Linked DNA regions of Daphnia pulex. The protein of the gene in region 2 purifies or fractionates together with the protein of the main gene of each other region. This does not show direct contact. Links are inferred from orthologs where the notes say so. Each region holds a gene or a part of one and is shown on either strand. Other genes may lie near its edges.

The links. Proteins that work in one complex are often made in the same cells at the same time.
Region 1: the proteins of protein prickle-like (region 2) and vang-like protein 2 purify together in Drosophila melanogaster (affinity purification with western blotting; 6 studies listed by BioGRID). This does not show direct contact. The link is inferred for Daphnia pulex from reciprocal best matches to the Drosophila melanogaster genes pk and Vang.

Annotation. Positions count from the first base shown.
Region 1 is NC_060018.1:12,086,782-12,090,926, reverse strand, and holds the start of vang-like protein 2, read right to left. Parts: upstream 2,801-4,145; 5' UTR 2,144-2,800; intron 1-2,143.
Region 2 is NC_060020.1:6,129,680-6,133,729, forward strand, and holds the start of protein prickle-like, read right to left. Parts: upstream 2,825-4,050; 5' UTR 2,415-2,824; coding exon 1,936-2,414; intron 1-1,935. UniProt on the Drosophila melanogaster protein: Acts in a planar cell polarity (PCP) complex; polarization along the apical/basal axis of epithelial cells. Correct expression of the alternative isoforms is required for PCP signaling in imaginal disks.

The DNA of each region.
Region 1 (4,145 bases), on a different chromosome or scaffold from region 2:
TTGTGGGTGTAATAAAAGAAGAAAACGGTCGCGCAACAGTTCCCCCCTCCCTGAAACCGAATGGAATGAAGAAGAAGAAGAAAAGGAAGAATGAAGGAAAAGGGAGAACCAGGTGTAGCCTGGAGGGAAGCTGAGGGCCAAAAAAATTCAACATTTTCAAGTTCCTCCGGTTCTTCTTCTTCTTCTTCTGGTATCCCCCAACAACAACAGGTGAATGGCCCAGCAGCAAGACAACCAAGGAGAACCGCCACTGTTGCCATACCGCATCATTATATTACCTTCTTCTATTTTACTATTTAACATCCCAGCAGAAGAAAAGAGGGGGAGAAGAGCTTCTTCCTGTTTTATCTAAAGAGATCGAGTTTTTTCAACCCTCGTTTTCATCAAAGTTGAGATTGATAGATTTCAACCCACCGAAAATATATCTAATACAACCGCAAAGAAGAACTTTTTAAAAATTTTTATTATTTTTCAAATTTTGGCGCCGACTTATTTACGACTCCGCTATGGGCTACTACTTGAGAATTTACTTTTTTCTTACGATAAACATCTCTCTCGATATAGTTGCCGGGGCCAGTTGGAGAATGTCACGAGTCTATAACAGCACGGGTGTCATAATATTTGGTCAAGAGCTGCTGCTGCTGCTGGGACGCTGTGTGTATTAGATATTTAGTTGAGTCTAATAAATCTCTTGAGTGGTATAATTAATCTATATATATATTTATCCTGTTACTGGATAATCTTCTTGTCGGTATATAACACAGACGATTGATGGCAGAAAAAAGGAATTTTGGTTGGTTGGTTTTGGGATCCATCTGTTCCGACATATTGGGAAACTGTTCAGTCTATTTAATGAGCTCATTTGTGCATAGATATTTTTTCGTCCATCCCATTTTGGGTGTATCGGATGATTGGCCAGGGTGAAATATTCGTGTAATTGGTCTCTCTCTCGTCAAAGCAGAAAGAACGAAGCAAGAAAATGGATATGCCATTATGAAAGAAGAAAAAGATTTCAATATCTGACGTTTTTCTTATCTACGCGTAAAATAAATAAGGGCGGAGCCCCCTTTTTTTTAGTACGAATTTTTTATTTTGGAAGAAGACAAAAATATATACGACGACAACGTCTAAACCTGCCGAATGACTTTTTTTCTTTCTTCTTTTAATCCAAACAAGGATGGGTTATTTATTTTCCCTTTATTTTCTTTTTTCGTCAAGGAAAAAACAAGTTCAGCCATTATAAATCGACCGGTTTTTCTGTTTTTCTTTTTTCTTGTCTCAATAATATATTAATCTATCCTCTCCTCCCCGATGATATCCTTTTCCCCTCCAATAAGATTTCAAACAAAAAAGGACCAAATCTCGAATTTCCAGTTTTTAGTTTCCCTTTTGATTTTAATTCCATTTAGCCATGTCGCCTTGTAGATTTTTTTGTTTTTCAAAACTTGGCGGGACCAGATCTTACTAATGAGATTTTTTGATTTTTGTTTTGTTTTGTTTTCCCTTCGAAACAATCCGCGTCGGGTCACGAATACTTAACAGCGACATCTCATCCCTACCGGTCTGCATTTATTTGTTAAAACAAAACAGATGGAACATATATCGAATGGAATCAAAACCAGATCTATTTTATTATTATATTCAACCTGCTCTCATTTCAAAAAAATAAAATTTCTCCAGTCGAATCGTTCCAGCTATTATTTAGTCGCCTTATCTCCAAATTTAGACGTTTTAAGCCAGTTTAGATTTGCGCAGAAAAAAACAAATTTATTTTATTTTTCTACCGTCCGACGAACGACGAACGACGACGAAAAAGAAGACATTAAAGAAATGCCGTAACTTTTCATCTTTTCTATTCAAACATTTTTTTCCTTTTTTTCCCGTCGTCGTGTGTTGTCCTTTTATATCATTTCTCTTTTCATTCGCCAAGGGGACCTTGTGCTATCCCCGTACTACGGCCGCAAGGATTATAAACACCGGGCCAGAAATAATATAATAATAAAAATATCTTGTCACCGGGATTAGAATGCCAAAAAAGAAAAATGTTTGGTGTTGCTGCTGCTGGACAGCCGTTGGACAAATAGCGTTTCTTTCTTTCTTCTACTATTTTAGAAGAAGAAAAATAAAATAAAAAAACACTCACCTTTATATTTTAATTTGATTTCAAAATGTGTAGGAGTTTGTTCCGGCCTCGCTCTGCTGCTGCTGCTGGTGTCTTAAAGAAAAACAGGATGATGATGTGCAATTACATCCACACACACACAATAGTCGCTGCTGCTGTTGAAGTTGTTTTTTCTCTCCGGTGTCTGATTTCAATCTACAGCACCGGTGCTGGGGTGCGCACTGCTGGACTTTTTTTTCGGACGGATCGATTGTGTCTAATAATAATAATCCATATACAACGCGCACGAATAAATCACAACTTTGTAAGCAGATAATCCATAATGGAAATCCCTGGGAATCGTCTCTGATCTTATTATTCCCTGGAAATATAAGCGATTCACTGCTGCAGACGACACTCATGTGTAGTAGTAGATCGACACTTTTTTTCTTCTTCTATTTCTTAGAAATTTCTTCCAGATCTTCTCCGAGTACACCGGAAAAAAAAAAAATAAATAAAAATCTACACAGACACACACACACACACAATCACACGAACAAAATAATAAAAATTGTTGGTTGGTTGCTGCTGCTCCTGGTAGCTGCTGCTGTTGCGGCTAAGCGTCCACACTCGACTGAGCTGCTCCGGCACGATAAAGCCACGCCATACTCTTCTTCTTCTTCTTCTTCTTCTTCTTCCAGCTCTTTTTTGTATTTTTATATATAGTACATATATTTATATATACACGGGGAAAGGGAGAGAGAAGGGGGGGGGGAATGAAAAGAAACGAAAGAGAATGAAAGAATGGTTAAAAAAGGAGAGAAAGAGAGAAAGATGGAAGAACGTACCCTGTGGCAATGCGGTTCCTATTGGTGGGTTTTTATTTTTCCCAGTCGTGCTAGCTGGGGTTCCAGCACTCTCGTCGGGTCTTTGGCACCCCCGAAAAACACAACTGCAACCGTAAAAGAAAAGGAAAAGAAAAAAGGATAGACGGACTATATCCACTCTACTAGATTCTCTGTGTGTGTGTGTGTACATTCATAGACGGACACTTGGCGTCAAGCCGAAAATAAATATCACGAGTAAAAACACACCATTGCGTGACCGGTGAAAGGATAAATTTGTTTCTCCGGATGAATAAAAATGACATTTAAAAAAAATAAAAACAAAAAAAAAAACAATTGAAGTGGAGATAATCAATTTTTCTGAGAAATCGAATCCGCTTATATTTTTTCGTGTACCATTTTATATTTTTAAATTTTTCTTATCGGCCTTGTAATAGAGAAACACACAGTTCAGGTCTCACTAAATATATATACGTCCGTTCCGCTCGAGTTGAGCCTGTCCGGTTCACCGTCCATCCAGATCCGAATTGGATAATAGTATATAAGGCTCTTGGTTTTATTTTTTCTATACAACACCAAATCATTAAATGGAATTAGATGAAGGAGAGAGAGACAGTGGAAACTATACAGCTCCCCACCTTTTTAATATCTTTAAACACAATAGAATTTGAGAGATGCTGACCGCAGCTTTTCTATGTGATGAAAACCGCATCATTGACGCAGGAGTTGAACGTCCATTTAACATCAAGGTTATACCTGTTTATCGATAGATATAAAAGATGATGTCAATTTCACCCCAAATATTTCTTTCAACACCGGTTATTGTATTTTATAGTTATTATAAACAAAGAATAATGAATTTAGCTCCTAGTTTTACACACAGACATTCTTCTGCGTTCTAAATCAAATATAAAAAGGGATCAACGTTAACTTGAAATAAATTGGAATGACAAGAATTTCCGTCGAGATAACAAGCGAATCAAAAAATATTCCAAAAATTAAATTTTTCCATTCTCTTTTTTTGGCTTGGCTTATATATACGCAACATTCCGGAAGGATATTTCATTACGTTTTGGATCTATCTCTCAGCTTGAGGGACATTTGTGAGTCTTCCGATTTTTTCCCCCCGAAATTTTTTTTATTTTTTCAAACTGCCGGACACACACACAACAACAAAAGGATCGACCACTAGACTCCCA
Region 2 (4,050 bases):
GTGTGCCGAAATTCTGGTTTTCTTTTAAGTCAAAGAGATGGTCATTTTTTACGCGTCGTTTCTTCAACTGCCTTGATTTTATGCTTGGCTTAGAGACTAGATGTGTGGTGCTGGTGGTTGGCTGGTAGGACGTCAGTTCGGGTCGGTTGCCCAGTCATTACCAAACGACACCCAGGCACCTGTCCCGGACATGCAATACAAGTCGTCTGGACCAGTTTCTTTTTTTTTTTTTTTTTTTCTTGTTTCGTAGTTTTTTGTTTTTTTCTTTCTATCTAAGGATTTGAAATAAAGCGGTTTGTCGAGTCGAACATGGGCACATTTAAAATCAGACGAGGAGGAATAAGAAAAAAAGAAAACAACTAAACATTCGTCGGTCTTTTTCTGTGACTTTGATCTTTTTTTCCTCCTCTTCTTCTTCTTCTTCTTGTTTGTTTTTAGTATTTCTTCTTCTCTAGCTTTGGAACACCAACACACACACAGACACCAAACATATTTCCAAGATATGGCGCATCGCCGAAAACGGTCGTAAAAAAAGAAAACGAACGAGGAACGAACGGTTCGAAGCTGCCTCAGCTGCTGCTGCTGCTACGCTCTTATATAAATAAATATACTGGGGCTTTCATTATCGTCTCGAAAAGGCAATCAACCAAAACGGAGGTCGCGCAACATCCAACGCAGACAGTTACAGTAAAGATAGAATATATACTACTACGACTACTACGACTACTACAACACCGGAGTAGTACGGGAGAATTACAAAAGGGAAAAAACAAAAAAAAACAAAAACAAAACGAAAACAAAAAAGAATTTCCCTTTAACTAAGGATGAGATGCTCAAGTTGACGACCTGCTAATTATTCCTGCCACATTTATTTCCGTCTCGTTTGAAAACGGCCCGTTTCTTTTGTTGTCAGAATAAGGTGATGCGTGCGCCGAGAAGAAGAAGAAGATGCTGAGAGAGAGAGAGAGAGCGAGTCATTTCTCTTTCGAGTTTCTCTCTCGTTCGCCGAGCTCGCCACCTCTCGCTACCCAAGGTAAGAGGTGTTTCCAGGCGCTTTTTTTGAATGACTCCGGAGAAGAAGAAGAAAAAGGGAAGACTTTTTCAGGTTTTATGGCCCCGCACCTAGCCATAGGGAACTCGGTCTTCATTCCATCGGACCAGAAGAAGAAGTGAAAAAAGTCATGGCCGCATATAGTTGTAGTATCTTGGCCGATCGCGCCATAATATTTGAAAAGGGGGGAAAAAATAAGTTAAGGGAAACAAGACAAAAAAAAAAAGAAAAAAGAGGATTCGATCAAACCAGACCGAAAATGCCCCAATTTGGAAAAAACCAATCAAGCGAAGTGAAACCTTCGGAAAAAAAAAATATACGAAATTTTCCAACTCCCTACCATTTGTCTCTCCTGACCTGTTCGTATTCACCCACCCACCTTTAATAGTATAACCAACCAGAAAATAAATTTAAAAAACCCAAAAAAAGACAAACAAACAACAACAACAAAAAAATGGCTAACTTGATTTTGTTAAACTTGTTTCTATCTGGTATTTGTTCGTTTCCCTTCAAAAAAGAAAAGAAAAAGCACCACCTTGCGATCTGCTTAAATGGCCCATGGGCAATCAGCCGGGTTCCACCACAGAAACAGAAATTCATTCAGTAGCCCAAATGTCATTCAAATTGCACACGCTAGGCATTTGGAATATTGCAGTGAAATTCCCTGTCATTGCCTTTGCTGGTGGGCGGATGAGATTATGCAAGTCAAAAGCAACTAGAAAGTGAGCGTCGTCATTTGCTGCAAATGAGATTTGAACGAGATGTTAATCTCCGGCTCTAGTACTCGAATGAAAAAATTCCAAAAGACAAAAAGTACTCTGTAAAATAATTGAGGCTTCGTTGAGGGTCTAGAAAAATGTTAACGCGAGGGCGAATCGACTTACTCCGAGGTGTGGAAACATGGCACAGTGTTAAATGATGATGAACTGACGGCGGCGTCGTCGTCGTCGTCTTCTTCATCATCGTCGTCGACACCACCGCCGCTGTGGTGATTATTGTCATCATTACAACAAGAAGAGGAAGACAAGGAGGAGGATTTGGTGGCATCGGCGACGGTCGACCTGAGCGTCGTCAAATTCTTTTTGCGCCCGTACAATTGTCTGTAATACTTTTGCTGGTCGCCGTAGACCCAGCAGACTTTCCACCACTGACGGTGGGCCAACAGGTGGGCCAGAGGCTTGTGCATCTGTAACAAGGTCCCACCACCGCTGCCGCCATCTTTCCTGTTGCCACCGGAAGCCGACGCCGCGGCCAAATCCTCTTCCGCTGCAACAGTCGACACTTTGGCGACGACGGCAGCGCTGCTGCCCGGCAATCCGCCGTTGCTGGCGCACTTACTCGTCGTCGTCGTCGACACTTCCATTGAAATATTTCACGTGATTTAAAACATCCCGGGGTCACAATGAGATCCGATTAATTTTTTTCCTTTTCTTTTTAAAAATTGACACTGATTGCGCACCTCTCGATTAGCCTTCTTCCGGCATTTTAAATCACACGTGTGCACACGCAACAATACACTCGATTGATCCCGTTTGACGAAACGCTAATTCGACAAGAAATTAAAAAGAGAATAAAACAAATATCCGATAGATGGCAAGTTGCGAGGGTCCACACTGCTGTCGCGCTCGTGATTATTACAACCACTTAAAAAAGAAGAAGAAGAAGAAGTGTGAATGAGAGTTTGGTGTAGCGGCGATGCTATCGCCACGGCGGTTGCCTTTCGACTGAATATAGGCGCGTGTGTTTCTTCTACCTCTCGTCAAGGTCCCTCCCACCTCCTCCTGCGTTTACCTCCGCCTCTCCTTGCAGTGTCTCTCTCTCCCGATTTCCCCTATCTTTTTTATTTTTTAAAATTCCCCTCCAGCAGCTCGAGTCTTCCCTTTTTACCTGTTCTTCTTCTTCTTCTTTTTATTCTTTTCCTTCTTCTTCTTCTTCGGCTTCTAGAGGAACTTGCACCTGAAAGAGTTCCCAACTTGTTTCTTCTTTCCTTTCCCTTCGCGTCTACCTTTTTCCAAGGGCTCGAGAGAAAATGGTCGGCTCATTTCCGAAACTATTTCAGAAAGAACGTTTTTTTCTCTCTTCTCCACGTCATTTTTAATTTAATACGTCGATAGGAAAGAGTGTGCGACCGTTACCAAACGACTTGACAAACGACAAAAAAGTGAAGTCGAGAAAATTTTTTTTGATAACGAGTTGGGAGAGCGCACGCTCGCACGCTTGATAGTGGCATATCACAATCGTTTTTCCAGTCCGGTTTTTATTAGAAAAATTTTAATTTGAAAGAATTTCTTGTCTGATTATTTTTTTTGAAAAAAAAAAAACAAAAATTGTTCCTGCGATTTCAACCCAAAAAATAATTTTTTTTTTCTATTTCTCAACTCGTCCTCGGGCGATTTTTTTTCTTCTTCAGGTGGGCACATAGCACATGTAGCCCTGGACACACACAGCTCCCGCCGGCCAGTTATTATTTTCCAGAGCTTTTCATTTTTTTTCCTTTCCGTTTGGGTGTTCAAGTTAAATTCGAGGGCTTTAACATGTATCTATTTTTTGGCTGTTGGGTTGTTTTACCATTTCGGTCGGCTGTATGATACACTACACTAGCACTTGTTGGCCCCCCCCCAGCCCTCCCTCCACTCCCCCTTCCATATTTTCCGTGTCTATGACTCCGAAAGGAACGCCATAAGGCCATCTTGGCCTGTGCATAGTATAGTATTATTATTAGCCTCTCCTTATAAAATTCAGCAGACCCCGGCGGTGCAACTGGATTGAAAATTGACGAATCAAGGTGTGTGTACTATATAGTAGGAGGAGGAGGAAGAGGCTTTCTCCCTCCCTCCCCATCTCATTCTTTTTTTGGTTAACCCCTTTTTCTCTGATTGTAAAAGATTGTTGAAAGAAATAAATAAATTTCAAATGGTTCGTTTGCGCGGCATTTAAAAGTCGAAATAGGGAGCGGAGCGGCAGCGGCGGCGGTGCATACAGTAAATACGTTATAATAT